7 linked regions of the Daphnia pulex genome follow. The protein of the gene in region 1 purifies or fractionates together with the protein of each later gene. This does not show direct contact. Links are inferred from orthologs where the notes say so. Each region holds a gene or a part of one and is shown in the gene's direction. Other genes may lie near its edges.

Region 1 (2,800 bases):
ACGAGTTTCAATTTCAATTTTGCACTGCAGACGAACATTTGTGAGAAGAAGCGGCGATGCCAATTTAAATGTAAATAGACTTTCTTTTCTTTCTCATTTTTCATGCCAACGTAAAATTTGAAAATTGACTTTTACCAATTTTGAATTAAATACTGTAGGTGAGATGTGACACAGTGACACACTTGGCAAATTAAAACCGTATGTTTTATAGTTACGTCAGAGAATGCCCTCGACCCCTCGTATGAATATGTCCTTATCTTCTTTTTAAAAAAATTATTCCACGAACAGAACAGCGAAACTCATTGTGGATCCCAAGGCGAGAACAGCCCAAAAGTTGACATTAAATGAAAAGTATTAGCAGTATTAGCTGTGATTCTGTGAATTTTTCCAAGCAGCAAGCATCAGTTGTTGTAAGGAAAGGAACGGCAGATCGGCGCAGAACGGCCACACGCCACAAGGCCACAGCCCACAGGCCCAGTCAGCAGAGTAATAGAAAAATATATTAATTCTACAGGTTTTTTGGCATACGGGAGGATTAGTTCAAATTTCGCCAATAGATGGCTTTTTGGAATTTTGAACTGCGCGCGTAGAAATTGGAAAACGGTTTGAACTGCGCGCCTCGAAAATGAAAAACAGTTTGAACTGCGCGCGTAGAAACTGGCATCTAGGCTCTAGCGACCAAAAGTAAAAGTTAACTGGCATCTATCTAGGCTCTAGGCGGCCTAGAGCCTCCGCCACAGCACACACCTAAGTCACACCCCAATGTTTGAATGTTTGACATAACTTTTGAATGTTTCGATATGTTTTAATTGATTTCGATATGTATTATTTTTTATTAGTATACGATTTCAAGTAAAAATATCGAAATAACTTAAACGAAGCGTAAGAGAGGGTGGGTGTTGTGGTTTGGTTTGTTCTAACTGTTTACAGATTTATCTGTAACTATAACTAATTATTTTTTATTTCATATTGCTTATGAAAATAATAAATTTTGCTGTTACTTAAGCTAAAAAGAGAGTGCGACGTGGGGTGGCGGGGCGAAGCCTCCGCCACACCTAAGTCGCACCCCTTATGATTCACAGATATTTTTTGATGTTCCGATAGGCCTTGTTTGATTGATACTATTTAATGTAAAAGTATAACAGTAATTTAAGCGATTAACGAAGCAAGAGGGGGGGGGCGGGGGTGGCAGGCGAAGCCCGTCCCCCCTCCCATTCACCATACCGATAGATTCATGTAATTAATTTTGAATTTCATGTTTACTTTACTTTTGCTTTTTTAAATTTTTAATTGATATTATTTCCTACGGGAACCTCGCAAACCGGAACGGGATGCCAGCATAAAAAAAGTAATATTCTGTTACTCTGGCTTGGCTGCTTGGCTGCTTTGCCTGCTTGCCTTTGCCGCCCTTGTCTTTTTGAAAAATATCGGAAAATCCCTACGAGGAAATAAATATCTGGCAACGTTGTTGGCAATTGAGCGTCTGTGTTCGTTTCTTCTTCAACAAAAAGTGTAAACTCAAACAACTCTCATTTAGAAATTTGATAATTTTCCCGTGTGGAATCAATTAAATATCAATTCAAGATAAATGGCAGCCCGAGCACCTAAAGTCCAGAAAGTGATGGTTCAACCCATCGTAAGTTTTCACCACTATCACTTCGATTTCAGCACGAAGATTTATTAACCGGCACGTGTGTCAAAAATGTCTTTTTCCAGAACTTGATTTTCAGATACCTTCAGACAAGATCAAGAGTAGACATTTGGCTTTATGAGAACATCAACATGCACATGGAAGGACACATTGTTGGATTTGATGAGTACATGAACATTGTTCTCGATGATGCAGAGGAAGTCTACGTCAAAACAAATGTCAGAAAACAGATTGGTAATGACGTTTTCATTTACTCACAATTATTCTGTCTTCTAAATGCTGTTTTATTTTAGGACGGGTGTTGCTGAAAGGTGACAACATTACTCTAATCCAAAATGCTGCAGGAAGTGGAGACGACTAATCTTCCTATATTAATTGGTCAGAATGCATTCCCAATTTGTGTTCTGTCGTGTATTACCTTTGATTAACGGGGAACTGATTTTGTGTACATCCAATCTTGATGTGCTGACTGATAAGAAAAACATGATGCTACAACCACACTTGAATATTTCATTCTCAACATCTATTTATTATTTTTTAGTTTTATATAAATTTCCCTAGTAATATTTTCCAATATTTATTTTGATGAAGCCTAGCCACTTTTACACATGAAAAATGTCTCCGGCAAGAGAATAATTTACACAATGACAAGAATAATCATGTTTTGAAAACAAGTCATTTCATGTGGACTACAATAATAAAAATAACCTATTGCACAACATTGTGTAACCACTTAAAATAGAAGGTACAAGTATAAAATCAATAAAAGTATCAATGATATCAGCCTGTTAGGTGGGGGGTGTACAACATAGCAAAGAGTGAAAACTAGCAAAATTTCAGACCCTAAAAATAAAGTAGTGTTTAAAATAATTACACATACATAATTATCAATTTATTATGACACTTCGATAACAGAGAAGCTGTTGCAATTCAAACTGGAATTGCTATTGTGTCTAGAACCGCAGCCCGAAGGCGAGGGTGACGGGTTGGACGACGAATCTTTTATTATTTTGCTGTTGTTATTATTATTCGACGTAACCAAGACTTTGCCATCCAGGGCTCCGCATGAATAGCGTTGCGTTTGACTATCGCGGCGTGATCTGCTGCTGGCCACTCTCAACAAGACCAAAGTCTGTTGCTGGCTGTCGC
Region 2 (3,214 bases), on another chromosome or scaffold:
GTACACCAAACAAAGTAACATTTTTTTACACGCTAAATTATTATCAGTGAGGCTCAAGCCAACAAATAAATCGGAATGTGACTTCTCTAATTTTCCTTTTTGATGCGCTGTGTCGTCATCCGATAGATGATGGAGTCACGACCAGGATCGAGTGTGCAAATAAACACTGAAAAATTAAAGGGATAATGTTATGGCAGATTGCAAAAATCGAACTCAGATTAATCAATTACCAGCGGTGGAAATAAGAGCAGCAATCAAGAAAACGGATGTCCATAAAAGGATATTAAAAATGGATGAGTAATCCGATCCATAGCGTTTAGATAAATTCAACTTCCAATACAGTTCCTGAAAGAAGGAGGATAAAGTTATTTTAACCCTCGACTATTATTTGAAAATAAAATTTTAAAAAATCATACGCTATTTGCTTTGGCATTCGAAGTCGTAGACCTCTTTTCTCGAAGGCGAAGTCTTTCAATGGTTATGGCAGTTAGGATAAACTATAAAAAGACAAAAATTGTTACACACAAATTTTTCGAATTCAAATATAACTGTGTCATACTCGATCGCCATAAGTGTTTTCTAGTGCATCTTGAAGCTCGCCGAGAGCAGATTTCAAAATAGTAACTGCTTCCAAAGCTTGCTCAGAGTCTTGACCATAGACACTGATGATATCATCCAAACCATTAAGGCGGATCCAAACAGTCTTGAAGACGGATTTTGCCAATACCTTTTGAAAATAATGTATTGTGTGTAAAAACCTCTCACTATTTTTTAACTAATGAAAATACCTTATGTTTTAAATCCATCAAAACATCAATATCTTTAAGAAACTGCAAGACAGCAACATCCTTTTTGTTGAGCTTTTGAAGTGCCAAAATCTTCTGGGTTTCACCAGAATATAAGTCATTTTCGTCAAATACAACTTGGCCTAGAATAGAAGTGAAATCATCCTTCACTTGATCAAGAGTAGAGGTGATCTCTAGTGGGTATCTGGGTTCACTCAACTGGAGACTTTGCACACCCTCAACAACAACAGCAACTGAAACTTCTGGGTAATTAAATGGATTCAAGACTGTAAGTCCATTCCACGAGTCACCCTGAAAACAGCAAATAATGGTATTGCTTCAAACTGATTTCATCATAGATACATCAAGTTGCAATATCACTCCTTCGTTTGGAACCAAACATATAGTTCCTAATCTACAAAGTTATAAATGAATGAAAGAACTTACAAAAGGTGTTGTGTGCCCCATTGCAGTGGAAATAATTTTTGGCAATTCACTTGTATTCAGCTGTTCATCTCCCCTAAAGTTGACTCCATTAGGGCTGTGCAAGATGCTGAACTCTCCATTTCCCAGGACTGCATTGCAACAAAACACTTCAAAAGCTGTAGTTTTCAATCGCTAGAAAATAATTACCTGAGGTTAATAGACAAAATACGCCGACAATTGATGCCACTTTCATCTTGCCTTCTTGTCTGGTCAACAGCAGCTGCAATTGCCTTTAGAAAAAGTTTGACAGTCTCGAGTCTCGTGACAGCTAAAGTCAGGTGATGTGTTCGTGGTTCATGATTTAGTCCCTAGATGACGTTTTCATTGCAGCCTACAATTTTTTTTTAAAACGTTGTGCTGCTGACAGCGTGATTCGAATCATATTTCATTTTCAAATTGTTGCTCTTCTTCTTTTCTGAATTCGTTAAATTTCTTAAAAAATGGTTGTATTATCTTCATTTCCTCCGCCTACCGAAGGAATCAAATTAGTTCAGCCTAATACTGGAGCTTTCATCAACACCAGAGACTTGGGCCAAGGAACATTATATATTGCAGAAAGGTTAATTTATATTTATATTCTATTTAAGTTTTCGATTACAAGAGTCACGGAAAAATAATTTTACCTATTCCAAACCATTTAGTCGTGTATCATGGGTTAGTGCCACATCTGGCCAGGGATTTTCGCTGGAATACCCCCACATATCGTTACATGCTGTTTCAAAAGATCCTTCTGCATTTCCACAGGAATGCTTGTACTTGATGTTGGATTCAAGGCTTGATGAACCCGGTAATACCCAATTCTATATTTATGTTTAAAATATCATTTGAGAAAATGTTATGTGAGATGTGTTCATGTTTCCAGGTTTGTCTGATTAAAGTTATATTTTTAAGATGAAGCTTTAGATAATCAAGATTCTGAGGATGAGGAATCTGAAACTGATATGTCTGAAGTAAGGTTTATTCCAGAAGATCGGGGACTTCTTGATGCCATGTACCATGCCATGACAATATGTCAAACACTCCATCCTGATCCTAATGATTCAATTTCAGATGGTAATATTTGACAAAAGGCAAAAGTTTTGCAGATTATTGTATTAACTTTTTTTTTTATTTAGAAGGAGATTTTGAAGATACTGAGGAAGGAGAATATTGCCTTGATGGAGCAGAAACAGCTGAAAATGGTAAATCTGATATAATTTCATTTAATTGATATCCGACAAATATTTATTGTTTTTCTCAATGTGCACCTCAATTGTTCGTAAGATCATGATAATGGTGAGGCGGAGAACATGGAGTCAGACATGGGTCAGTTTGAAGATGCCGATCCTGAACATTAACCGCACATATTTCCCTTATTCACGCTTTACTTACTATTGCTTTCTTTGAAATTTTAAATAATAAAACTTCAAAGCATAGGAGATAATTAATGTAAAACAATTTTTGGTGTCACCTCACTGTTCGATTGCCATGAACGCGAGTATTCTCGGTTAGTTAAAAAAAAAGAATGCGCCCGCTCCAATATTATGTGTAGATTTTAAGCGGGAAGCAAAAAAAAACTGTATGTGTGACAAAAAAAACAAGTTTAATAATCTTTAACTTAAAAATATCGCTGCCACAGTAAAGAAAGCATTGGTTTTCTTTAAAAAAAGAACTTCTTAAGGTAACTTGAAATGAAAAAAATGTGACGTGTTTCGACAAAGCGTGCAGAATGTTTAGCATTTTTTCTGAGGTAAAGCTTCGGTTGACGTTAACATTATGTGAACCTTCCACTAGAAAAGACAAGATCGATAACAGTAGTGCTACTCAAGAACGCCTTTTGTGGTCATGGTGGCGCTGTAGCTTGGGTTGTATCAAAGTTCAACGTTCTCAAGCCTCTCGGAAAGTCTCAATATTGATTCAGTCTCGAGTTTAGCGTCTCACGCATAGCACGACAGACTTTCTCC
Region 3 (4,254 bases), on another chromosome or scaffold:
AACGCCTCGCCTATAACAGAGAATGACATTAAAAGAAAGAAGAAAAAAGGTAGAATAAAAACAGGGCCTTATTTGAAAATTCGAAAACAAAAGAAATATATAGGGAAAAAACTCGATGCGTATCGTTTTGAGCGTCAAAGTAACGTCGTTTGTATCTGTCAGGATACTTTCTCTATTTAGATCTATCGAGATAGGCAAGCCAGCAGCCATAGCGTTGGAGTCTTCTTCCCTCTTCGAGTTGATGTGCGCACATTTACAGTATAAGAATCTCGACTGCGGTCAAGAAAAGGAAATGGAAAACTGTGAAGAGTTTTATTAGTTTTACTACACAAATTATTGCATTTATGCCTTATAATCAGCATATACTACGTATTCTATCAGCACAAAGTGACTGCAAGAATCTGTGGCTGAATAAGGCTGTTTAATGAAACCATTTTTGGTGACAAACACATCCAACGGTTGCAGCAGCATAAATAAGTTGGCAATAACTTGTCTCGTATTGAATGCTTTTGTGTCTCGTTCGTCTCGTTTGTCCATCTCCAATTACGGAATCAAAGATCAACACTGTTTTGTTTTTGTTTTTTAAATTTTTGGATGAGCGTGATTTCTGGTTGGAAGCAATATCCAACCCGGAGGCAACGCGTTGCTTGCACTGATTGAACGACTGCAAAATGATCGTCGCTTTGAAAAAAATTTCGCTTTGAAAAAATGTTCCCAATGGTTTCAATTAATTTGATTTAATAGCTAACACTCTGAATTACTTGTTAAATATCGCAATAAACTTGATAACAAAACTAGAGATTTGGAATTTTAAAAAATAATAAATAAAATCTATCAGATAGAATAGAGACACGCGTGTCTCTATTAGCGGTACTGACAGTAGCTTATTCTAGAAATGAGTTCGTTGCCTCCGCTGGTGTTCTGGTAAACTCATAACACTTGAAGGAACAGAAAGGAAATGAGTTATTATCATCAGATGGAGTTCGAAGAGGAAAATAGTTAAGGGTGTTAAATAGCAAGAGCATTGGCATTTTTTTAGCTGCGAACCTGGGAATAAATAATATGTTTCAAACGGAAAAACTCGACTAAAATTAAGTAAAATCAGTGGAAATGAGACGGGCAAATAGATAAAATTGGTAATGTGATTCTGCATCGAACACGATATCAGATTCAGATGCACTGTGTTACATATCATTGACCTCAATTTTTTATGTTATAAGATGACCATTTTAATCATGTATGTCTCAACATTTGAGCATGTGAATTTATTCTTGTTTCGTCTACGCTCGACGGTAGCCTACTGCTTTTTCTCCATGAAGCCAATTCCATGTCACTATCATATCCTAAATATCATTTCAAGATATAGGGTCTACCAAACCGTAAGTACATAAGCAAAGATTTTGTAGGGTGAAAGCTAATTTCATTATGTGCTTCAAATTTGCAACCTTTTCCCGCTGGCGCTAGTTATAAGTTAACATATAGCCTGTGGCGCTATCAATGCTCACAAAGAATTACCGCATTATAAAGATTAACTAATTAATTATAACACTGAGAAATTTTAGGTTAAATATTGAAAGGGAGAATCAAGAGATAAATAATCAAGAGAATGATTTTAAACATCTACAGTTAACATTGTTTAGCTATTACTATAAGGGTGAAGCCAGTATGCCGAACGCCGAAATAGGGGGAAGAGAATGGGTAGATAGATGTCGTGTACGTGGTGTGATTGTGTGACGTATATTCGTAATATGTGTATAACAAACACGCAGGCAGTCGACAAGTTGTGGCATTTTACTTCATGAGCCACGCCATCTATTGATTTCTTATATTCCCTTTTAGATCCCTATCGGCCTCTCCCTACTCCGACCAGATTTTCAGATTGCTATAATTAATTTCTGTCGAGGAAGAATTATAAGATCTATGACCAACTGATAGATGCAATCAGTGACCAATTTAACTCAGCCCACGAACAAATGTGACAAACCTATTTGATGTAAGACTTGTGCGTACATTGGCAAATATGAAATTCAAATTTATTTTGATGTGAAACTTACTTGACACGGTAGCCAAAGTAGGTGGTAAGAACCATCACGGCAGAATTATTTCAATTCATAATAGGATAAAGCAAATCATGCAACAATGCACAACGGTGCTGCGGTGTTATGTACGCTCATGCTTGCGGCTTTCTACAACAATTAACAAACATGAACATAATCAAATTATCAAAAAAGATCAGCAATTCAATAAAGCAATTTTTATTTGGAATTAAGTTGTGAGATAACTTTTAGAGGAATGGAAAGATGTTACGTGTATACCTGTCCTACGAATGCGACAAGAGACGATTCTTTTATTCGTGCCGCATTAATCCTCTTGCTGAGCTGCTGCAAATTGCACCTTTATACTTAAAACTAAAAATTTCGCCATCTATACGAAAACGATGGAGTGATCATAGTATCATACACCGAAACTAGATGGCGTGGAACGAAACGTTAACAAAACGTTTTTATTGAGTACCTGAATGGCTGAATCGAATTCTGGAAAATTTAGATCTCCAATATATGATTGGATTATATATGATTACGAATCACATGATGGCAAGATTATTTACATTCTTAATAAACTTGGATAACTCGTTTTTACATTCTTAAGTCTTAACAGATGCATGCGTAATTATTAGTAATTGCATACGTAGGAGATGTCACTTTCTCCCTGCATGACAGAAACAGAAATTTAGTAAAAATTTTGAATTCGATTATAGGAAGTACACCTAGAAATGTTACAGTAACCTAACCGAGTTTATAAGATACAACAAAATATATTGAGTAGTAACAGATTCACAATTTAACACATAATTAAGTCAAATAGGAGGAAATAAAATCATTCATCATGTTCGTCGACATGGCTTGAAATTGAAGTATTTTTAAATTGCACTATAATATGGATTAAATTTTTTTTAATGTCTTACAACTTTATGAAGTTTTAACGAATAGTTTTTTACGTTATCCGTCACTTTTAGTTTTTGATGTACATAATAAATGCACGTCTAATTTTTATCTATTACTAAGCTATAGAATTTTTCAATAATATTGGATTTCCATAAGCGCATAACCTGACTGCAATTAATTCTCGATCAACCGCAAATTCAGTTTCTCTTAAACTAGGTACACATGTAATGCTCAGTGCTTTTTTTTGCCAATTGTGCAACGCTGCTATGAGAGAGGGGATGTATTTATTACTGGGGTATGGGGACTGAACGCAAAGAAAGGAGCAGAAGCATCAGAACGTCGAATAGACAAGGTTGCTCAGGATACACCTTGTCCAGAAATTGGAACACAAATCATCACTTTTGCCAACTCAATTTTAATTCTAGGTAATAACTCATCCTTTCCAATTGTATTGGAGCCAAAAAAGTAGGTTATAGTTAATTTTCTTTGTTTATAAAATACGTTTATGATGTGAGGTTTCTGGCGTGACCGCTAGATGCTGCACAGCGTGTGGATTTATTTAAATTTGAAAATTATTTAGAATTTGCATTAAAAACTTCTAAAATTGCAATGTTTTAGTGTGTCAATGTTTAAGCAGAGAGATGTGTGTATTGTAAAGCTGTTTTCTTTTTACAGATTGCTGAAGCAAATTTAATGAAACATCATGGCATCAACCCAAGTAGTCTCTCTCAGTATTGGACAAATGAAGCGGGTGCATTTTCCTGCAGAAGGGGATGACAGACCTGTAGAAGCTATTCCACATTTTGTCAGTCCCAAAAAAATGGTGAAACCAGTAACAGGCAGTCAGCGCAAAAGAAGTCTCAGTCTTTCATTTGAAAGCAAGCAACATCACTTCAAGAGAAGACGCAAGGAAGAATTTGTGAGACCAACAAAATTTCTACTTGGAGGCAATAGTCGAGACCCGTTGAACTTGGGCAGTCTAGCAGATGAAAGAATCAACAAAGCTTTGAATGAGCATACCCCAGAATCCTCTCCGTTACCAACCCCTAAACACAGGAAGGAAGAAATTGAAGTATTAATTCCATCAAATATAAGGGATCCTTTAAACCTGAGTATGCCAGATGATAATTTAGCGGAAAGAGCGTTAATATCTCCGAATGCCGTCTCTAGAAAAAAGAGAGGACGAAACCGTAAAAGAAGGAGGACCAATAGCGCCAGTGAAGTACTGGATGCTGGACGACATTCACCCGAATTGAGCACGCTCACATTGGATCTCCCTGTAGTCAAGCAAGTCGCTGTTGAGTTGACT
Region 4 (4,336 bases), on another chromosome or scaffold:
GCTATCGTCTGCCAGACTCGCATCTCATTCCTCTCACTCCGCAACGTCGGAATACGAAGTTGATTGAAGGTCAACTTTTTTTCAAAAAAGGGCTCGTGTTTTGGCATATGAATCAAACACAACACCCAACCATCTCGGCGCCATTCGACGAGCTACTGGACCTCCCTCCGGATCTCTGAAAATCGAGTGGAAGAAATAAAATGTTGTTTTGAATGATTTGGATCAAATTGAAACGAAAGAGCACTTTACACAATCAGTCAAAAATATTTTGGGTTATTTCATTTCCACTTGAACAAATACACTTATTTCGATTCACACACAATCTGTCGAATTCTTTCCAACGCCAACGACTTTTTTCCTCCAATTATTTTAATATTAGAACAAGGAAGAAGATTTTGTATGCGGCCGATTTGCTCACGACCCGATCGCCGACTAACTTTGCCCACGAAAAACTGGCAAATTTGTTTGTTTTTAGTTTGAATTTTTCTTTTTCCTACACGACGCGCTTCTCATTTTCTTTCTGGTCTGGTGTTCGCCCTTTTTTTCGCAGTTGCTTCCAAATATTTTAAAACTTGGCTCAAGTTGGATGCAGTGTGCTACTATTTTGGGCGCCATACACACACACTCGCATACACACACACACACACACACACACTGCTGATGTATATTATTGGCATTCGCAGCCGCCCACTCAAGCTATTATGTTACCCGAACGGTCGAGAACGGAAATAGGAAGAAGAACAGGCGAAAAAAATGGTCTTCCACTGGTCATCATTGCCCCGAAACACTGTCATATTAAAAAAGAGGTAGTTCATCTGGGACAAAGAGTTATGATATTTGGTGTGTCTTTTGTTGCGACACATCGTTCGATTGGGACCCTGCCAAGAACGCATTTTGAAATAGCGAAGAAAAAGCGAACTGTCCGTTTGAGAGTTGATGTATCTATTCATGTGTGCTACTGCTGTAATTGTTGGTTGACCGATTACTTTGCGTGTGATGACACGACCTGCAGCGCGAGAGAGAGAGTCAGACTCCCCCCCAGCGAGACGAGGAAAGAGATTGGAACTTAACGCGTCAACACATCATATCAACCTTTAATTATGTGGAAAACGAGTTTGAATTACAAAGAAGCATATACTCATAAATATGGAAAGCTGCATTCGATGTATACAAACAAGAAATTTTTCCCCAATTGAAATTCTTGTCACACGTTAGGGAATTTACTATTCGCACCGAACTTCACGCCATCTAGTTTAGCAAAAACGCACCGTTTACTAGACTCTGGCGGAATTCAACACGAACTATTAATGCCGGCATCGAAACAATTCACAGTTGCATATGTATGTGTGTTTTTGATTGCCTAAAGTTTAATTAAAGTTTTAAAACATAAAACTCTGCAATGGATCTACCTCGTCCTCCCGAAGGTAATAACCGTTTAAATTGAAAAATCTCCTCATCAATTTGTTCACAACAAATATTTTTATAGACATAGAACTGCGCAACATTATTGACAAGTTAGCTCAATTTGTGGCGAGAAATGGTCCCGAATTTGAGCAAATGACGAAAAACAAACAACGAGATAACCCCAAGTTTGGTTTCCTGTTTGGTGGGGAACTTTTCAACTACTACCAGTACCGTGTGACAACAGAGCAAGCAATTAACAAGCAAAAGTTTGTCCGAGAGCAAAGTCAACCCATGAGCTATCCAATCAACTATGGCCCACCGCCTAATACAGAACATCCCAGTTTCAATAGGAATTACAACTATGGCCCTTCTTCTGCATGGCCTAGGGCTCACCCACAGCCATCAATGCCCAATCAGATGTCATTTCCTGGACAAAATCCCATCCCTCCTCAAACAGATTTGATTGCTTTAAAAGGTGCAAAAGATGTACTCGTTGCCCAACAAACTCAACTGCAGGAACAGGTAAACATACTCCAGATCATATCAAAAATAGTAAATACTAATTGGTTTGGTTCACCAGATCAAACAAAGTGAAAGCAACTTGGCCGCTCAACATCAAGTGACAGTGCAACAGCAGAAAAAGCAGACAGAGGAAACAGTCAAGTTGCAACACGAAAAAGAAGTCATGGAAAAAGCGTTGGCAAGTGGAATGAATTTGGCAGAGTTAGAATTGCTTTTACTGCCTATCATGGATTCTTGCACCAAAGAATCCATATCTCAGGGTAAAGCTTGGATTCTCCATCATGTGATGCAGCCTCATTCATCCTCTGATGCCATAGCACAATATCTCCTTTTCAAAACAACTCAAAGCAGTAAGTTTTCCTCTGTTGTGGCTACTTGGCATTGCCTGAGCATTTTTTTTTCTTTCTGAATCAACAGGTCAATTTACCCACAAACTTCACTTGATCTATTTGGTCAACGACGTGTTACACCATTGTCTCCGCAAAGGACCCGACACGCTTTTAAAGACACTCGAACAAGTTGTCGTCCACATGTTTTCAAACACTAGTCTGTCTGCAACCGACGAGGAGCAAAACGCCAAATTGCAAAAACTGGTCGTTTTGTGGCAAACGAAAAATAATTTGTTTGAGCGTGGTGTCCTGGAAAGGTTACACGCACCTTTACACATCTGGAATGAATACCACAACAGTCTAGTGGCCAAATACTCGGCAGCCGTAGCAGCTTCAACTAGCAACATTCAGCATACGTACGAAAACTACCGCGGCCAGCATCAAGCCTTCGTCAATCATGCCAACCACCAGATTCAGCAGCTAGAGCAACAGAAACTGCAAATTGAAGAACAAATCGCGGCGGCCAATGCTTTGCAGTCTTTTAATGCACCTCATCACGCCATGCCGCCGGATTTCTTATCTCGCCCGCCGCCAGTTGCTTCCCTTAATGCCCCGCAAAACTACCCGTGTGAAGGAATTGAACCAAAGGCTCCCTACTTCGACTTACCAGCGGGATTACTCGTCCCACTGGTGAGAATGGAAGACAGCGAGTACAAAAGCATCGATCCGAAAGATATCCGCCTTCCTGCACCGCTCCCACCGTCTGAGCGATTGATTGCCGCCATTGATTTCTTCTACAGTCCTCTCTCGCACGACCGACCACGAAACGCAGATGGGTTCGTGATAGATTTCCTTTCTTGTTGGCTTATCATTCAAGCTTCTTCTTCTCAACTTTTCTCTTTCTTGTTTTTTTTTTTAGGTGGGAGCAGATGGCTCTTTTCGAGTTTTATAAGAACAAGGCAACTGCGAAAAAGAAGAAAGAAGAAGATATTGCTCAGGGATTACGCGACATGTCGCCGCCTCGAACTCCTATCGAAGTTGTCGAGGATCATTCCCCTGAAAGAAGTGGTAAGAATGGAATCAGAAGTCCCGTGCGTCGAAGATTCCGCAGTGAGTCGCCCGAGGAAGAGCATAGAGAAGAATCGAGGCAAGCTCGATCACGATCCAGATCGCCTAGAAATTCAACAAGACGTCGCCGAAGTCGATCTAATTCAGAGTCGCCCCGTCGAGCTGCACGCTCTCGTTCTCCTACACCTAGTCGTTCGGAATCAAGATCTAATTCGCCCGTCACGATGACCGGTTTTGCGCAAAAGCGGAGCCCCACGCCACCTTCAGAAATGTAACCAACCCCTTTTTTTTCCTTAAGTTAGGTCAATGTGATTTGGTTAAATTTGATTCGGCGTTTTGCAGTGCATCCGTGTCGTTTGCCAAAGGTTTCACGACAAAGCTGGACGAAAACAACCGAGGGCATCAACTCTTGTGCAAAATGGGTTGGGGAGGAGCTGGACTCGGCGCAAATGAACAAGGCATAGCGGAACCCATCAAAGGAGGAGAGGTATTGATCGAACGGTACTATTTTTGTGTCAACAGAATAGCGGATTGATATTTTTCGTTCTTCAGGTTCGCGATCGTTTGGACCAGTTCAAAGGTGTCGGTATCAATATACGTGATCCTTTTGAAAATTTCCGAAAAAGCAAAGGTCAGGCGTTCATCACGAGAATGCGCTCAAGGGCCGAAGAACGAGAAAAAGAAAAGGGCGGACCTGACGATCCTCCAACTCCATGAGAATTCACTCACTCTACTTTTGCTTAACTCACGAAATACAGTCGATTCGTCTATACCTTGATATCCGTTTAATGGTGACCTGAACAAGTAAGGGGGAACAGCTGTTTGACCAATTCTTCAGCGTTGACTGTAAATTCACTTTCGTCGTTTGTAGTACCAACCTAAGAAATATTAGATTGATTAAAAAAAATCGAGTCAATATAATCATGCACGCAATTTTACCATGATGGATCGAAAACCTGGGCGTGTTAAAGTCCGTCTAGACACCATGCTATGTAAAGTTAACCAAACGGACC
Region 5 (4,426 bases), on another chromosome or scaffold:
TCATTTCCCGACCAAGTGTTGAAGGCGCATTCAATTCTGTCCTGTCATTCAATAACTGAACAGAACAGAACTAAAAAATCTAACTAGACCATGGCTTCCGAAAGATATAGTTTCTCCCTAACAACTTTCAGGTTTTCTATCATTTACTTTCTAAGTTTTGACTAAATATAACATTTATTTTCATTGTTTAGTCCTTCTGGAAAACTGGTACAAATCGAGTATGCTTTGGCCGCAGTAGCTGCCGGTGCTGCATCAGTCGGCATTAAAGGTATATTGAAATTTCAGCATGTAAAAGATTGTAACAATGTAAATAATGTTATGTTATAGCTGCCAATGGTGTCGTTCTGGCCACTGAGAAGAAGCATCGGTCAATCTTATATGAAGAACACAGTGTTCACAAGATTGAAATGATTACCCCCAAGATCGGTATGGTCTACAGTGGAATGGGTCCTGATTATCGCCTCTTGGTTCGTCAAGCAAGGAAAATGGCTCAACAATATTGGGTAACTTATCAAGAACAGATACCAACTGCCCAGCTTGTCCAGCGTGTTGCTACCCTCATGCAAGAGTACACACAGTCTGGGTAAATATTTGGTTTTGTCACAAAAAAATAGTTCTTAAATAGTATAGATGAACATTTCAATGAATTTTTGTAATGCAGAGGTGTCAGGCCATTTGGTGTTTCACTCTTGATGTGTGGCTGGGATGAAGGACGTCCATATCTGTTTCAGTGTGATCCATCAGGAGCCTACTTTGCCTGGAAAGCCACTGCCATGGGAAAGAATTACATCAATGGCAAAACTTTCCTCGAGAAAAGATACAATGAAGACCTCGAGCTCGACGATGCTGTCCACACTGCGATTCTTACTCTCAAAGAGGGTTTTGAAGGAGGCATGACAGAAGATAATGTTGAAATTGGTATTTGTAACGAGCAGGGTTTCCGCCGATTATCTCCCGCTGAGGTTAAGGATTACTTGGCGAACATTGCCTAAACGGCTCGAAAATTCTTTGATTTCAAACAAGTGTCGAAAAATAAATCTGATGGTTGCTTAATGAATTTTCTCTTGGATTTTAAAAACAAAATTCCTTTTCTTTGTTCATTGCTAAACAATCATTTTCCTACTATCTTCACTCAAATTGCCTGTTAGAAATCTTAAAATCTATCAGATAAAAGATCTAAAAGATCCAGTCATAATTCCTCAATCAGTTCAAAGTGGTTGTATTTTTTATACTTGATCATTGTTGTTTAACGTTCAAGTTTATTCTAAATTCTTACTACATACTTTCTTCATTTCTTGTATCGATTCAAACGAGCAAACAGATGAATGAACCGAATGAACTATGAATTTGGATATGATTTTGTTTTGGTACTTGACATATATTAGTGAATTCCGTATAATTCAACAGTATAGTTCAAGGGATTCTTTTTCTGAATTGAACTAATAGCAGATAAGAGTTTAACAATTTTTTCTAGGTGGAAAAAAGTGGGAAGAAGTCGGAATCGGAATTCGGAAGAAGTGGGCGCCACACTGAAATTAAACAGTCTGACAACATTGTAGCGGATAGACAGCAACGTTTTGTTGCGTTCTGCTGTTAAAGCCGGAACAGAAAAACGCTATTTAACTCACATTTTAGAAATAGAATCAGTTTTTAATTTTGACGTGAGAATCTGACAATTTCATACATCAGAATAGAGTTTGATAGTCAGCATGCCACCTGCTGTGGAAACATTGCCAGTTTCTGGTGAAGTAAATATGCCCGAGAATGCTTCTACCAAGCCTACTGTCGGCATCATTTACCCACCTCCTGAAGTCAGAAGTAAGTTTGTTGTCAACTTACAAGTTCGTGAATAATTCATAACAATTTTCTTCTTAGATATTGTGGACAAGACAGCCAGCTTTGTAGCCAGAAATGGGTTGGAGTTTGAAGCACGGATTAGGAAAAATGAGCAGAATAACCCAAAATTCAACTTTCTTAATACTGGAGATCCTTATCATGCATACTACCAGTACAAAGTTAAGGATATCAGAGAAGGAAAGCTTGCAGAAGGTGCACCTGCAGCAGCACCTGTCCCAGGCCCACCGGGAAAACCACCACCATCAGCCCCTACATCAGCACCAGCTTCGTTGGCACAGCAGCAGAAACAGCAAGAAATTTTGAAACAATTCCAGCAAGAAGCCCCTGTAATCCCAAAAGAGCCACCTCCAGAGTTTGAATTCATTGTTGATCCTCCATCGATTTCAGCCATGGAATTGTGAGTTTTTTAAATAACTATTTAAATATTATGAAGCTAAAACTTAACAACACTTGTGTCTTATTTCAGAGACATTGTGAAACTCACTGCCCAATTTGTAGCTAGGAATGGTCGCCAGTTCCTCACAAGTCTGATGAATCGTGAGGCCAGAAATTATCAGTTTGACTTTCTGCGTCCTCAGCACTCGCTTTTTCAATATTTCACTCGTCTCCTAGAACAGTACACCAAAGTATTTTGATTGGTAGATTATTTTGTTTGAATGAAAGTCTAAATGATTTTGTTATTCTTTAGGTTCTTATCCCACCGAAAGACTTGATGACCCGTTTGAACGAGGGTTGCACTAATACTAGCGTTGTCTTACAAGAAGTCAAACGACGAGCCGACTGGCAACGTCATCAAGAGGCTCAGAAACGCCGAGAAGAAGAAGAAGCTGAAAGGGAACGCGTGTCATATGCGCAAATTGATTGGCACGACTTTGTAGTCGTCGAATCAGTTGACTATCAACCATTCGAAATTGGTAATTTCCCTCCTCCCACAACCCCAGAGGAGGTCGGTGCCCGTATTCTTCTCCAGGAGCGCTACGAAGAAGGACAAGATGTTGAGATGCAGCTGGAGAGTGAAGAGGAAGACGATGATGAAGAAGACGATTCAGACACGGAACAGACAAAGCCACCACCACCACCAGGCGCACCGCCCTCTCAAGCCATCAAGGGAGATGGACTACAGCCTCCTCCAGTGGCTCCTTCTGCCGAAAACGTCATCGTGCGTAAAGACTACAATCCCAAAGCTGTGGCAAAACCACAAGCCCGTCCGCCTGCTCCAGACGAGTACCTCATCTCACCCATCACTGGAGAGCGAATTCCGGCTAGCCAAGTGGCTGAGCACATGCGTATCGGTTTGCTGGATCCGCGTTGGTTGGAGCAGCGCGATCGACAAATGCAAGAAAAGATGACTCAAGAGTCTGTGTACGCGCCCGGATCAGCCATCGAAAACAGCTTGCGAGCATTGGCTGAACGTCGTACAGATATTTTCGGTGTCGGTGACGAAGAGACAGCCATCGGTAAAAAGATTGGTGAAGAAGAGCGTCGCAAAGACGAGACCAAATGGGAAGGACAACAACCGCCTGCCCCGCCACCATCAGGTGGAGAGGGAGGATCAACGTTCCAACCCCGACCTGGTCCACCTGCTGGCCTGGTTACCATACAAGAGCAGATTGCGCAGATCCACAAGAACAAGGCGCTCATGACTGGCATGAGCGAGGAAGAAGATGGGCTAGGATCTAATGGCGTTGTAGCAGCAGCGCCACCTAAACCTCCACAACAATTAATGAGCATTCCACCAAGACCACCGGTCATGATGTCTGCTCCGCAGCCGCCACCCATGATGATGATGTCCATCCCTCAGCCGCCAATGCCAATGCCCATGGTCCCCCAGAATTCTTTCATGACGCAGATGCCTCAGTCTATGGGCATGATGCAGCAACAGCAGCAGGGTCAGGGTGGTCGAGATGTCATGGAGGAGGAGCCTCCTTCTAAACGACAGCGCAACGAGGATCAACTTATGCCTGAGGAAGCCTTTTTGGTCAGATATCCCGGTCTGCTCCACTTCCATATTGGTGCACCAGTTTACGCCGAAAAACCCGAGTGGAGATTGCAGGGCCAGCAGCTCAGCTTTTCCTTGTTGCCCACGGAACCAATCTCCGTTGTTAAGCAGAAGATTAGTGAAGCGACAGGAATGCCGCCGGCCAAGCAAAAGCTCTTTTGGGAGGGGCTCTACTTCAAGGACAATCATTCTCTGGCATTTTACAATGTTACCCCCGATGCTGTTGTCCAGCTTCAGGTGAAGGAACGAGGCGGTCGTAAGAAGTAAAAAACAATTCTGGAAAATCCTAAACCATCAAAAAACCTCATTTACATCAGTACGGACCTTGGGGGATAATTACGTAATCGGAAAGCATTTTACAACCATTTTGTCTCTCCCTCTGCTACACTGTCATCGATTCCTTCCTGGTCTCAGAAATGGAAATATATTCAACTTTTCTCATTTCTCCATTTATCGGTTGTCAGGTAAATCATTATTATTAGCACAAATTATCTCATCTCATTTGGACTTGGGACAAACTCAAAGGTGACCCATTTCTACTTTTGATATAAAATCCGTCTACAGTTTATT
Region 6 (4,464 bases), on another chromosome or scaffold:
CCCTCCCCCTCCGAAATAAAAAGTGTGAAACAAAACCAGACAGGCTGGTTGGAATAGCCGCAGGCTCACTGTCATTTTTTCGACAAGTGACGAGAAAACCAGAAGCTACCAAATCTAGCATTAAAAAGCGGGAAAGTTCAAAGGAATCGCCTTAAGTCATTTGTTTAATAATCGGCAATGAGTTTAAGTCGGTTAAATAAACTTTTCGCGCCATGAAAATTCCAGACAGCCTGTCTGATTTCATTCGTATTTCTTTTTGGGGGGGGAGGGGGGAGACATGGCCAATGGCTAATTACTCCTTTTTCTTTCTTCCCACCTTTCGCTTTGTTCCTTACCCCCCCAAATTCGGCCTATAAACCAAACCCAGTTCCCCGCCATATGGATAGGTGGCTATTTGAAAAAAAATCGCCGTTCGGATTTTTTTGAAGGATACTGTACCTTTCCTATTATATCGTGGTTTTGGCTTCCATTACTCCAAGGACAGAGTAATAGATAATGGTGTACCCACTACCATGTTAACTCCTCCTCTCGGAAATTTTTCCTAGAGCTGCAGCGAACATCACGACTCGATAGTGAAAACTGAGCTTAGGTATCTATGTTTATCCTCTATCACCAACGCCTCTTGCTACCGAGCGAAACCTTCGGCAAAACCATTCCCCATTTCCCACCACACCTGCTGTGGCGCTAATTTTAAGAGCTGGGAAGTGGAAAGCTAGAAACACTTTTAGGGAAAAAGGAAATGGAAGGCCTCCTGTCCTAGTGGCTACACCATTATCTACTACTCTGCCAAGGAGGTCTACAGACAATTATTTCTTTCTTTTCTGGGTTGCAACCATTATACTTCTAACATCGAGTCCACCAGTCAAGGAGGCCGGATTTGGGGGTCTGGGGGGCTTATCATTTTTGGGGAATTGGTGACAAGGCATCGCAGTACATCCCCAAATAAACCATTTTATCGGAATTTTACTGTTTTTTGTTGTTATAGTTTTGAATTCTTCACGAAAAACTATGAGGGCCCACCAGAAATTGTAGCGTTTTTTCGGGTTTTTTACATCAGTTTTCGGGTGAACCAGGCCGTTTAAAAAACGGATTTTTCAGAAGATTTTGCCCCTTTCCACAGACGTCTTGCCCCGTTTTTTATCTAAGCTTTATTGGCAGAGATATAAGGGATTTAAAATCTGGAAAATTTTCCGCCATTTTCTAACGATTTTCGTAATCATCCCACTTCATTTTGCAAGCCATCTACCGGCCGATTTTGAAAACCCTCTGGTGTGTAGGACAAAAATCTGAATAGCCGGGAGAAGAAATTTCCCTTGCATTTTCAAAATCTAGATATTATTTATAAACATGGATATGGAAAAGACAGGACAGGACAAAGTTCATTTTGCAAAAAGCTAGCAGCAGCTAGTAGCCTGAGCAGAGCCCTGAGCTAGCAGTTGGCAATTTCAATTTGTTTGAAGTAAAATTCATTTTAAACATGGCAATGTTGCCTGTATCTGTGTATCAAAATTGACGCACTCATGTGCATTTTGTATTTAACTCATTTCATTGCAAAATTTATTAAGTATTCCGAAATTAAACGTCTTTTCGATGGCTCGTGACGGACACAAGTATAATTGTTATTTTTATTTAACTTATTAATTCATTTATTAAGTAAAATAATATGCAGATTATAATAACGATATAGATTATGTAAATTTTTTGTTTACAGTTTTTCATTGCTTAATATTATTATTTTATTTACATTTCTCATCTACGCTAGGCATAATAAACGATCCAGAAGCCGAAGCAGATCCAGTAGTCCTCGTTCTAAAAAACTTCGAGAACGAGATAGAGATGGGGAACACAGGCAAAGAGACAGGGAACGTGAAAGAGATAGAGATCGGGACAGGGAGCGTGACAAGTAATTAATTTTTCATGTTTACAAAAGATAGTCTGATCCATGTTAAGAAGTAAAAACTACCTTTTTGTAACATTTTCCAGGAGAAGAAGCAGATCAAAAGATAGAGATCATGATAAATCTAAAAGATCAACAACAACTTCAGAACGAAGAATTTCAAAATCCCCTGATAGAAAACCAACTTTAGTCGAAGAAATTAAACCTGTTTTGAAATCTGAATCAGAGCTAAAGGAGGAAGCAGCTGTTGCAGCCATGATTGCCAAAGTAAGTTGTTCTATTTTTTAATATTTTGAAAGGGTGTACATTGTTTGTTTGTCTCTTTTCTTGCATATAGGAAGAGGAGCAGAAAACTTTGGACTTGGAAATGCAGAAACGCCGAGAACGAATAGAAAAATGGCGTTTAGAACGAAAGATGCAGGAAATTGCTCAAGTTAAATCTGATCTAGGTAATAATCTAGAAATAACTTTTTAAAAAAACTGACTGTCTTATATACTTCATAATATTGCCATCCTTTTAAACAGCCAATCAAAGAGCTGGGAAAAAATGGTCACTTGAAGATGATGAAGAAGAGGAAGAGGAAGATGGAAAATTGAAAACTGAATCTGCTAAAGTTGAAGCAATTGAAACGATCAACGAAGAAATTGAAGTTCAAGAAGCAGAGGAAGAAGTTGACCCTTTAGATGCTTTTATGCAGGTACTTCAGAATATCTACATGTGCCGATTTGGTTTTGCCGAATCGACATGGATTCGTACCTTACTGCTTACACTAGTATTTTTAAATCAACATCTATTTAATTTAAAAAAAAAAAATAGGACATTCAAAGTGAAGTTCGAAAGGTTCAGAAACTTGACGTTCAAAAATCAAAAGGATCTGGCGTGATGGTAATGACCGGAGTAGCAAAGAAAGCTGCTAAAAAGAAAGGTGAGCTTGTGGAACAAAATCAGGACGCTTTGGAATATTCCTCAGAAGAAGAGTCAGAAGACTTGGCATCAGCAATGTCCGGACTGGCGAATAGCAACATAAAACAGAAAGAAAAAGTTTTTAAAATTGATCACAACAAAATCAACTATTTTCCTTTCCGGAAGAACTTTTACGTGGAAGTACCCGACATAGCACGTATGACCCAAGAAGAAGTAGATGAATACCGACAGGTGTGTATGACTGATACAATTGCTAGTGCCCCAGGACGTTAAAAAAAAATTGTTTAACATATAGGAACTTGAAGGCATTAAAGTTAAAGGAAAAGGGTGTCCGAGACCTATAAAAGCATGGGCACAATGTGGTGTTAGTAAAAAGGAAATGGAAATTCTAAAAAAATTAGCATATGAAAAACCAACCCCCATTCAAACGCAGACAATCCCTGCAATCATGTCTGGTACACAACAACGAACACTTTTTTGTTGTATAAATTTTAAAAAATACTATTATTAAAATATATAGGCAGGGACATAATAGGTATTGCCAAAACTGGCAGTGGCAAAACACTGGCATTTTTGCTGCCTATGTTTAGGCATATTTTAGACCAGCCTGCATTAGAAGAGACTGATGGGCCAATCGGTACGTAGTGTTTAATATCATCGATGTATTTATTTTATTTTTTTTTATTATTATTATTATTTTACCTTCATAAATATTCCACTGTTTTAGCTATCATAATGTCTCCTACCCGAGAATTGTGCTTACAAATCGGCAAAGAATGTAAAAGATTCACCAAGTCATTGAATTTGCGTGTGGTGACGGTCTACGGAGGAACGGGAATATCAGAGCAAATAGCTGAACTAAAACGTGGCGCTGAAATTATTGTGTGCACACCCGGAAGAATGATTGATATGTTAGCTGCCAACAACGGTAAAATTTACCTATAGATTAACTATTAAAAAAGTGTCTTAATTTTAGTCTTTGAAATAGGACGTGTCACCAATTTGCGGCGTGTGACTTACATAGTTTTGGATGAAGCTGATCGCATGTTCGACATGGGTTTTGAGCCACAAGTAAGCAAGATAGTAATACTTCGTCGGGTGACTAGAAATATTTATTCCTTTTATATAGGTAATGCGAATCATTGATAACACTCGCCCTGATCGACAAACTGTTATGTTTAGTGCTACATTTCCCCGTCAAATGGAGGCCTTGGCTCGTAGAATCCTAAACAAACCTGTTGAAATCACGGTTGGAGGTCGTAGCGTTGTTTGTGCTGACGTCGAACAGCATGTTCTTGTTATGGAAGACGAACAAAAATTTTTGAAAGTTAGCTTTTTTCTTAAATTAACAATGAATTTTTGTTTATAAACTAATTTATTTTGGTAGCTTTTAGAGTTATTGGGGGTTTATCAGGAACAAGGAAGTGTTCTTGTATTTGTTGAGAAACAAGAAAGTGCTGATGACCTGCTCAAAGATTTGATGAAAGCTGGATACGATTGCATTTCCCTTCATGGTGGTATTGATCAGTACGATCGTGATTCAGCTGTAGTTGACTTCAAAAATGGAAAAATCAAATTGATGGTAATAGAAAATTTTAAAAAGATTTTGCTTGATGTTCGCCGTTTTCTATACTTTTGTTTG
Region 7 (4,217 bases), on another chromosome or scaffold:
TGGCGGAATTGTTTTAAATTTAAGTTTAAAAAAAAATTTTGGGAGAGAATATATGAGCAATAGAGCAAAATTGTTCGTTAATTGCAAGATTAGATAAGTTTTGGGTTACCTGAATGAGCTGTATGAATTTCGACACACAATAGTTAATTCGTTTTGTAATCAAAATTTCCCATTCATTTGACACGTGCATAGAAAAAAATGTCGTTCTTTTATTGTATTCAGGGATAATGGAAAGGGAAATTAGGATACACGATACATGCATATACTAGCCAAAACTGCAATGTAATATGGAAAAACCCAACGTCACTATCGAGTTGTACCCAAAATGAAAATTTCCCAAACTAGAAATAACAAAATAACGGAATGCTTTTGATGTTCTGTAAGCATGTATATTATATAAGTTGGAAAACCCTTTCATGTGGATCTGTTTTGTTTCGGCCGGGACTTAGGCCATGCACGGAAATTTACAATTAGTACAATTAACAGAACATAACGTTATATTTAACGAGGTATTAGTGAAAACTTCCGCTATTAAACAGTTATTGTGTAAAACAATGAAACTTTAGGGATAATGAGTATTAAATTAGGAAAAATTTTACGGTGATTCCATTATAATTTCTTCTGATTTTAAATTACCCTAGTAACAAAAAGTGGTGATGTTGAATATTTTTGGGACTTTCGCTATACAATAAATTGTGATTTCTTGTTCCTTTCTGTAATAATGTTTAAACGCAATTTTATGCAAGAATAATCAAGAAAGATTCGACAATGGAATACGACGATATTGGAGTCCATTCAATTTCACGGTGACATCAAACAATGGAATTTATCATCCCTGTAATAAGGCTGTAACAAATTTTACATGTTTTGGGGCCGATGGCTCGCGTGTTGCCCTCATGCGCATTTTCTTCTCCACCAGATTTGATCCTACTGACTGCCGGCCTCGCCTGTTACACAATGTAATAAACATTTGTGACAATTGGGTGCAGTTTTACGACATATACTACATGTTTTTTTCCTAACGCGAAAATCAACGAAATTTTAGTTGTCATATTCATATACTCATGACTCATGTTGGCGATGTGCCGATTGGCCGATCTGATTCTGTGTTATGTTATTCCTCGACCAAAAAAGAAAAATAATAATGATTGGCATCGCTGTTTTGGCCGATGCGAGCTGGAATCGGCTGAAATAGTATGAAGTGCTTGTGGGATGGATTGATCGAAATATAATTAAACCTTCTATGACGTGAAATTATAAGAAGATACTCAACTTCTTTTTAACATTCTTGCAACATTAGTGTATTGTGTCAAAATGGCCAAAAGAGGACTGTCTCGTAAAGAACTCGAAGAAATCAAGAAGCGCGAAGAAATTGAAGCTGCTGCTGAGGTGATACACATTTGTTTGGAGAAGCTGAACTTCAAATAATTCAATATTATTGTTCATTGGATTTATTATTAGGTATTTGAGGAGTTTGTAGCCACATTTCAAGAAGATGCCAGCAAAGTCAGTAAAGTTTGGGTCAAAGCGGGTACCTATGATGCTGGTCAAAGAAGTAACAGATTACACATTTAATGCTATAATATAGCCATTTTTCTTAATATTTTCATTTTAATTTGCAGAGGAAGATGCCAAAGATAAAGGCAAATTGTATAAACCAACATCTAAATTGGCGAGCTTAGCAGAATCTTTCTCCACAAGATCCAAGGCAAATGAATCTAAGGAATCTAAAGAATCAAAAGATAAAAGTTTACAAAAAAAGGAGAAGAAAAAGAGCAATCTTGAGATGTTCAAAGAGGAACTCAGAGTGTAAAACTAGATTATTCTCTTATTTAAAAAATAATGTTACAATTAAATTTTCTTACAGTATCCAAGAAGAAAGAGAGGAACGACACAAAGTTAAAGCTCACTTGAAACCAAGTCGCTTTGAGCCTGTCAATGTGAGTTCTCCAAGTACTAGCAAAAGCTCTCTTGCTCTTGGATCAATCTTGATAGGTATGTAAATTGTAATTGCATTTTGTAGCAAATTTGTCACACTTTTTTTGTTTCAGAAGAAAAGACAGGATCATTTGATGTAGGAGATCCCAATACCACTAACATTTATTTAGGCAATATCAACCCTAAGGCAAGTTTTAAATAAATCATGTTTTTATCAACTTTATTAACATAAATTTAATGTCCCTTGCAGATGACAGAACAACAATTGATGGACACATTTGGAAAATATGGACCTTTAGCCAGCGTAAAAATCATGTGGCCTCGAACTGAGGAAGAGAAAGCAAGGAATCGAAATTGCGGATTCGTAGCCTTTATGTGCCGAAAAGACGCAGAGAGAGCGATGAAAAAATTAAACGGTTTGACAGTTTATATTCCGTTTTTTGCATCGATGCATTTATATCAAATGTTTATTTTTCAACAGGTAAAGATATTCTGTCTTTTGAAATGAAACTCGGATGGGGGAAGGCCTTGCCAATTCCTGCTCGACCGATTTACATACCGCCAGCATTACTTGAAAAAACGCTTCCTCCACCACCAACCGGCTTGCCTTTTAATGCAATACCCTCCCCACAAGATATTGATCAGGTATGGCTGGTATGCAGTACCTTAGATGTTCTTTCAAACATAATTGAAATTAATATTTCCCTTGTCACAGATCCCGCCACCCGGAACACCCTACCCAACACACGGCGAGGCGTTGGAGAACTTCAACAAGGTATTGGGGGATGGGCTAAGCTATTTCAATCAACCCAGCAATATGACTGACACAAGACTCGAGACTTTTTATCCGCCTGTTCCGGCATTGTTACTCATGGTCGGCGGATAAAAAGAAGCGAGTGCTTTGTGTGCGGTCGCTTCGTTGGGAGGTCTCATCTTTTCTATTTGTGTTCTTCGGCGGAAAGCGATGAAACCCAGCCAAAAATTTGTTTTCATGCGTTGCATTCGTTTGGCTAGTGAAGACCGTTGTTCGTGTCTCACTGCTCTCATACTATTGTGTGTTTGGAAATATGTTGATGTTTCACCCGGGTTTGCTGCTTCTCTCGCAGATTATATCCAGGGCTGTTGTCAAAGTGGTTATCCCTACAGACAGGTATGTAACAAAGATCAAGCCTCATAATACCTTGAAGCTGCGCGGCTGTGTGACATTACCCTGCTCCCTCCGAGCCCCAGGGAGTATACACGTTTTGTCACGAAGGAACAACACATTGTTCTTTTCATTCTTCCAATGCGACTATTCCTTAAGTCTTATTTAATTCCTTTGTAAACTTTTAACTAACACTCGGAATGCTTGACCAAAAAAAAAAAGAAAGAAATTTTGCTTTTTCAATTGACCCACTTCTTTTAAATCATCGAACAAAATTTTTTAAGTCGGTAGCTAATCTTAACATTTTCATTTTTATCACCACGTAAATCTGTACGATTGACATTTGTGCGTGTCATACGTATGTTGAACTTGGTTTTCTGGAACTGGCGTACACAGAAATTTGTTGTGTTTGATTCATCGAATGATCGAATCTGTTGTTCGAGAGGGCCCAATGCTTGAGGCCATGGTGATGAACAAGGAAATTGATAACCAGCAATTCAGGTACCTAAATTGTCTTTTCTAAAAATGTTGTTGGATAGTAATTATTATTTCTTTTTTACTTTTGCAATCAGGTTTCTATTTGAAAACCGGAGTCCAGCTCACATTTACTATCGCTGGAAATTGTTCTCAATCCTACAAGGCGAGTCTGGTAATGTGTGGTCCACAGAAGACTTTCGCATGTTTAAAGGTAAAATTTCTTTTTATTCTGTAAATTATCCAGCGCTCATTTTTAAAAATTAATAGGCGGTTCCATCTGGAAACCCCCGTCTATGAACCCGTTTTCTGAGGGCATGCCAGACGAACTTTTCTCGTCCGACGAGGAAGATGATGAGAGTCGCCGACGATCGCTCAGCAAATCGTATTTACTACAATTATTTTTTCTAATTCATTAAGCAATTCTAATTTACGTTCAAATCCATAGTCAAAAGAAACGACTAGAATTGATGTTGAGAAAATTGACTCCTGAAAAATCCAAAGTAGCGGAAGCTATGATTTTTTGCATCGAGCACGCCGAAGCTTACGAGGAAATCATCGATTTCGTTACCGAGTCACTCAATAGTGTCAAAACCTATATTCCTCAAAAGGTAATTTAAGTCGTGACTTCCAAGTTGGAAGAAACCTACTTAATTTAATC

What was found.
Region 2: the proteins of probable small nuclear ribonucleoprotein E (region 1) and methylosome subunit pICln-like purify together in Homo sapiens (affinity purification with mass spectrometry; 5 studies listed by BioGRID and IntAct, counting the BioPlex papers as one, with this or other methods). This does not show direct contact. The link is inferred for Daphnia pulex from reciprocal best matches to the Homo sapiens genes SNRPE and CLNS1A.
Region 3: the proteins of probable small nuclear ribonucleoprotein E (region 1) and probable RNA methyltransferase Y17G7B.18 purify together in Homo sapiens (affinity purification with mass spectrometry; 3 studies listed by BioGRID and IntAct, counting the BioPlex papers as one, with this or other methods). This does not show direct contact. The link is inferred for Daphnia pulex from reciprocal best matches to the Homo sapiens genes SNRPE and MEPCE.
Region 4: the proteins of probable small nuclear ribonucleoprotein E (region 1) and calcium homeostasis endoplasmic reticulum protein-like purify together in Homo sapiens (co-immunoprecipitation; 3 studies listed by BioGRID and IntAct, counting the BioPlex papers as one, with this or other methods). This does not show direct contact. The link is inferred for Daphnia pulex from reciprocal best matches to the Homo sapiens genes SNRPE and CHERP.
Region 5: the proteins of probable small nuclear ribonucleoprotein E (region 1) and splicing factor 3A subunit 1-like purify together in Homo sapiens (affinity purification with mass spectrometry; 3 studies listed by BioGRID and IntAct, counting the BioPlex papers as one, with this or other methods). This does not show direct contact. The link is inferred for Daphnia pulex from reciprocal best matches to the Homo sapiens genes SNRPE and SF3A1.
Region 6: the proteins of probable small nuclear ribonucleoprotein E (region 1) and probable ATP-dependent RNA helicase DDX46 purify together in Homo sapiens (co-immunoprecipitation; 3 studies listed by BioGRID and IntAct, counting the BioPlex papers as one, with this or other methods). This does not show direct contact. The link is inferred for Daphnia pulex from reciprocal best matches to the Homo sapiens genes SNRPE and DDX46.
Region 7: the proteins of probable small nuclear ribonucleoprotein E (region 1) and U2 snRNP-associated SURP motif-containing protein-like purify together in Homo sapiens (co-immunoprecipitation; 3 studies listed by BioGRID and IntAct, counting the BioPlex papers as one, with this or other methods). This does not show direct contact. The link is inferred for Daphnia pulex from reciprocal best matches to the Homo sapiens genes SNRPE and U2SURP.

What each region holds. Positions count from the first base shown.
Region 1 is NC_060026.1:14,103,770-14,106,569, reverse strand, and holds probable small nuclear ribonucleoprotein E, read left to right. Parts: upstream 1-1,463; 5' UTR 1,464-1,588; coding exon 1,589-1,636; intron 1,637-1,716; coding exon 1,717-1,885; intron 1,886-1,944; coding exon 1,945-2,012; 3' UTR 2,013-2,151; downstream 2,152-2,800. Other genes in the region: serine-rich adhesin for platelets-like, read right to left, coding at 2,547-2,800. UniProt on the Homo sapiens protein: Plays a role in pre-mRNA splicing as a core component of the spliceosomal U1, U2, U4 and U5 small nuclear ribonucleoproteins (snRNPs), the building blocks of the spliceosome.
Region 2 is NC_060018.1:1,924,999-1,928,212, forward strand, and holds methylosome subunit pICln-like, read left to right. Parts: upstream 1-1,524; 5' UTR 1,525-1,711; coding exon 1,712-1,830; intron 1,831-1,912; coding exon 1,913-2,058; intron 2,059-2,162; coding exon 2,163-2,324; intron 2,325-2,386; coding exon 2,387-2,452; intron 2,453-2,534; coding exon 2,535-2,608; 3' UTR 2,609-2,705; downstream 2,706-3,214. Other genes in the region: renin receptor-like, read right to left, coding at 87-166, 231-345, 417-497, 560-727, 789-1,097, 1,233-1,360, 1,419-1,464. UniProt on the Homo sapiens protein: Involved in both the assembly of spliceosomal snRNPs and the methylation of Sm proteins.
Region 3 is NC_060021.1:10,084,313-10,088,566, forward strand, and holds the start of probable RNA methyltransferase Y17G7B.18, read left to right. Parts: upstream 1-1,272; 5' UTR 1,273-1,379; intron 1,380-3,090; exon of another isoform or gene 3,091-3,161; 5' UTR 3,162-3,370; exon of another isoform or gene 3,371-3,410; intron 3,411-3,620; 5' UTR 3,621-3,648; coding exon 3,649-4,254. UniProt on the Homo sapiens protein: S-adenosyl-L-methionine-dependent methyltransferase that adds a methylphosphate cap at the 5'-end of 7SK snRNA (7SK RNA), leading to stabilize it.
Region 4 is NC_060023.1:8,902,517-8,906,852, forward strand, and holds calcium homeostasis endoplasmic reticulum protein-like, read left to right. Parts: upstream 1-1,285; 5' UTR 1,286-1,399; coding exon 1,400-1,424; intron 1,425-1,486; coding exon 1,487-1,926; intron 1,927-1,984; coding exon 1,985-2,276; intron 2,277-2,343; coding exon 2,344-3,091; intron 3,092-3,174; coding exon 3,175-3,594; intron 3,595-3,665; coding exon 3,666-3,810; intron 3,811-3,875; coding exon 3,876-4,040; 3' UTR 4,041-4,095; downstream 4,096-4,336. Other genes in the region: TELO2-interacting protein 1 homolog, read right to left, coding at 4,109-4,201, 4,263-4,336. UniProt on the Homo sapiens protein: Involved in calcium homeostasis, growth and proliferation.
Region 5 is NC_060024.1:13,065,678-13,070,103, forward strand, and holds splicing factor 3A subunit 1-like, read left to right. Parts: upstream 1-1,497; 5' UTR 1,498-1,709; coding exon 1,710-1,818; intron 1,819-1,875; coding exon 1,876-2,254; intron 2,255-2,323; coding exon 2,324-2,483; intron 2,484-2,545; coding exon 2,546-4,123; 3' UTR 4,124-4,309; downstream 4,310-4,426. Other genes in the region: proteasome subunit alpha type-2, read left to right, coding at 91-131, 192-268, 328-583, 662-992. UniProt on the Homo sapiens protein: Component of the 17S U2 SnRNP complex of the spliceosome, a large ribonucleoprotein complex that removes introns from transcribed pre-mRNAs.
Region 6 is NC_060028.1:6,108,718-6,113,181, forward strand, and holds the start of probable ATP-dependent RNA helicase DDX46, read left to right. Parts: upstream 1-1,411; 5' UTR 1,412-1,590; coding exon 1,591-1,610; intron 1,611-1,762; coding exon 1,763-1,903; intron 1,904-1,983; coding exon 1,984-2,164; intron 2,165-2,234; coding exon 2,235-2,346; intron 2,347-2,422; coding exon 2,423-2,595; intron 2,596-2,714; coding exon 2,715-3,053; intron 3,054-3,117; coding exon 3,118-3,277; intron 3,278-3,342; coding exon 3,343-3,459; intron 3,460-3,549; coding exon 3,550-3,750; intron 3,751-3,810; coding exon 3,811-3,893; intron 3,894-3,951; coding exon 3,952-4,149; intron 4,150-4,209; coding exon 4,210-4,404; intron 4,405-4,464. UniProt on the Homo sapiens protein: Component of the 17S U2 SnRNP complex of the spliceosome, a large ribonucleoprotein complex that removes introns from transcribed pre-mRNAs.
Region 7 is NC_060023.1:3,571,554-3,575,770, forward strand, and holds the start of U2 snRNP-associated SURP motif-containing protein-like, read left to right. Parts: upstream 1-1,154; 5' UTR 1,155-1,314; coding exon 1,315-1,389; intron 1,390-1,461; coding exon 1,462-1,555; intron 1,556-1,622; coding exon 1,623-1,809; intron 1,810-1,867; coding exon 1,868-1,995; intron 1,996-2,051; coding exon 2,052-2,125; intron 2,126-2,188; coding exon 2,189-2,354; intron 2,355-2,419; coding exon 2,420-2,583; intron 2,584-2,653; coding exon 2,654-2,713; intron 2,714-3,044; coding exon 3,045-3,088; intron 3,089-3,478; coding exon 3,479-3,583; intron 3,584-3,654; coding exon 3,655-3,770; intron 3,771-3,826; coding exon 3,827-3,941; intron 3,942-4,004; coding exon 4,005-4,167; intron 4,168-4,217.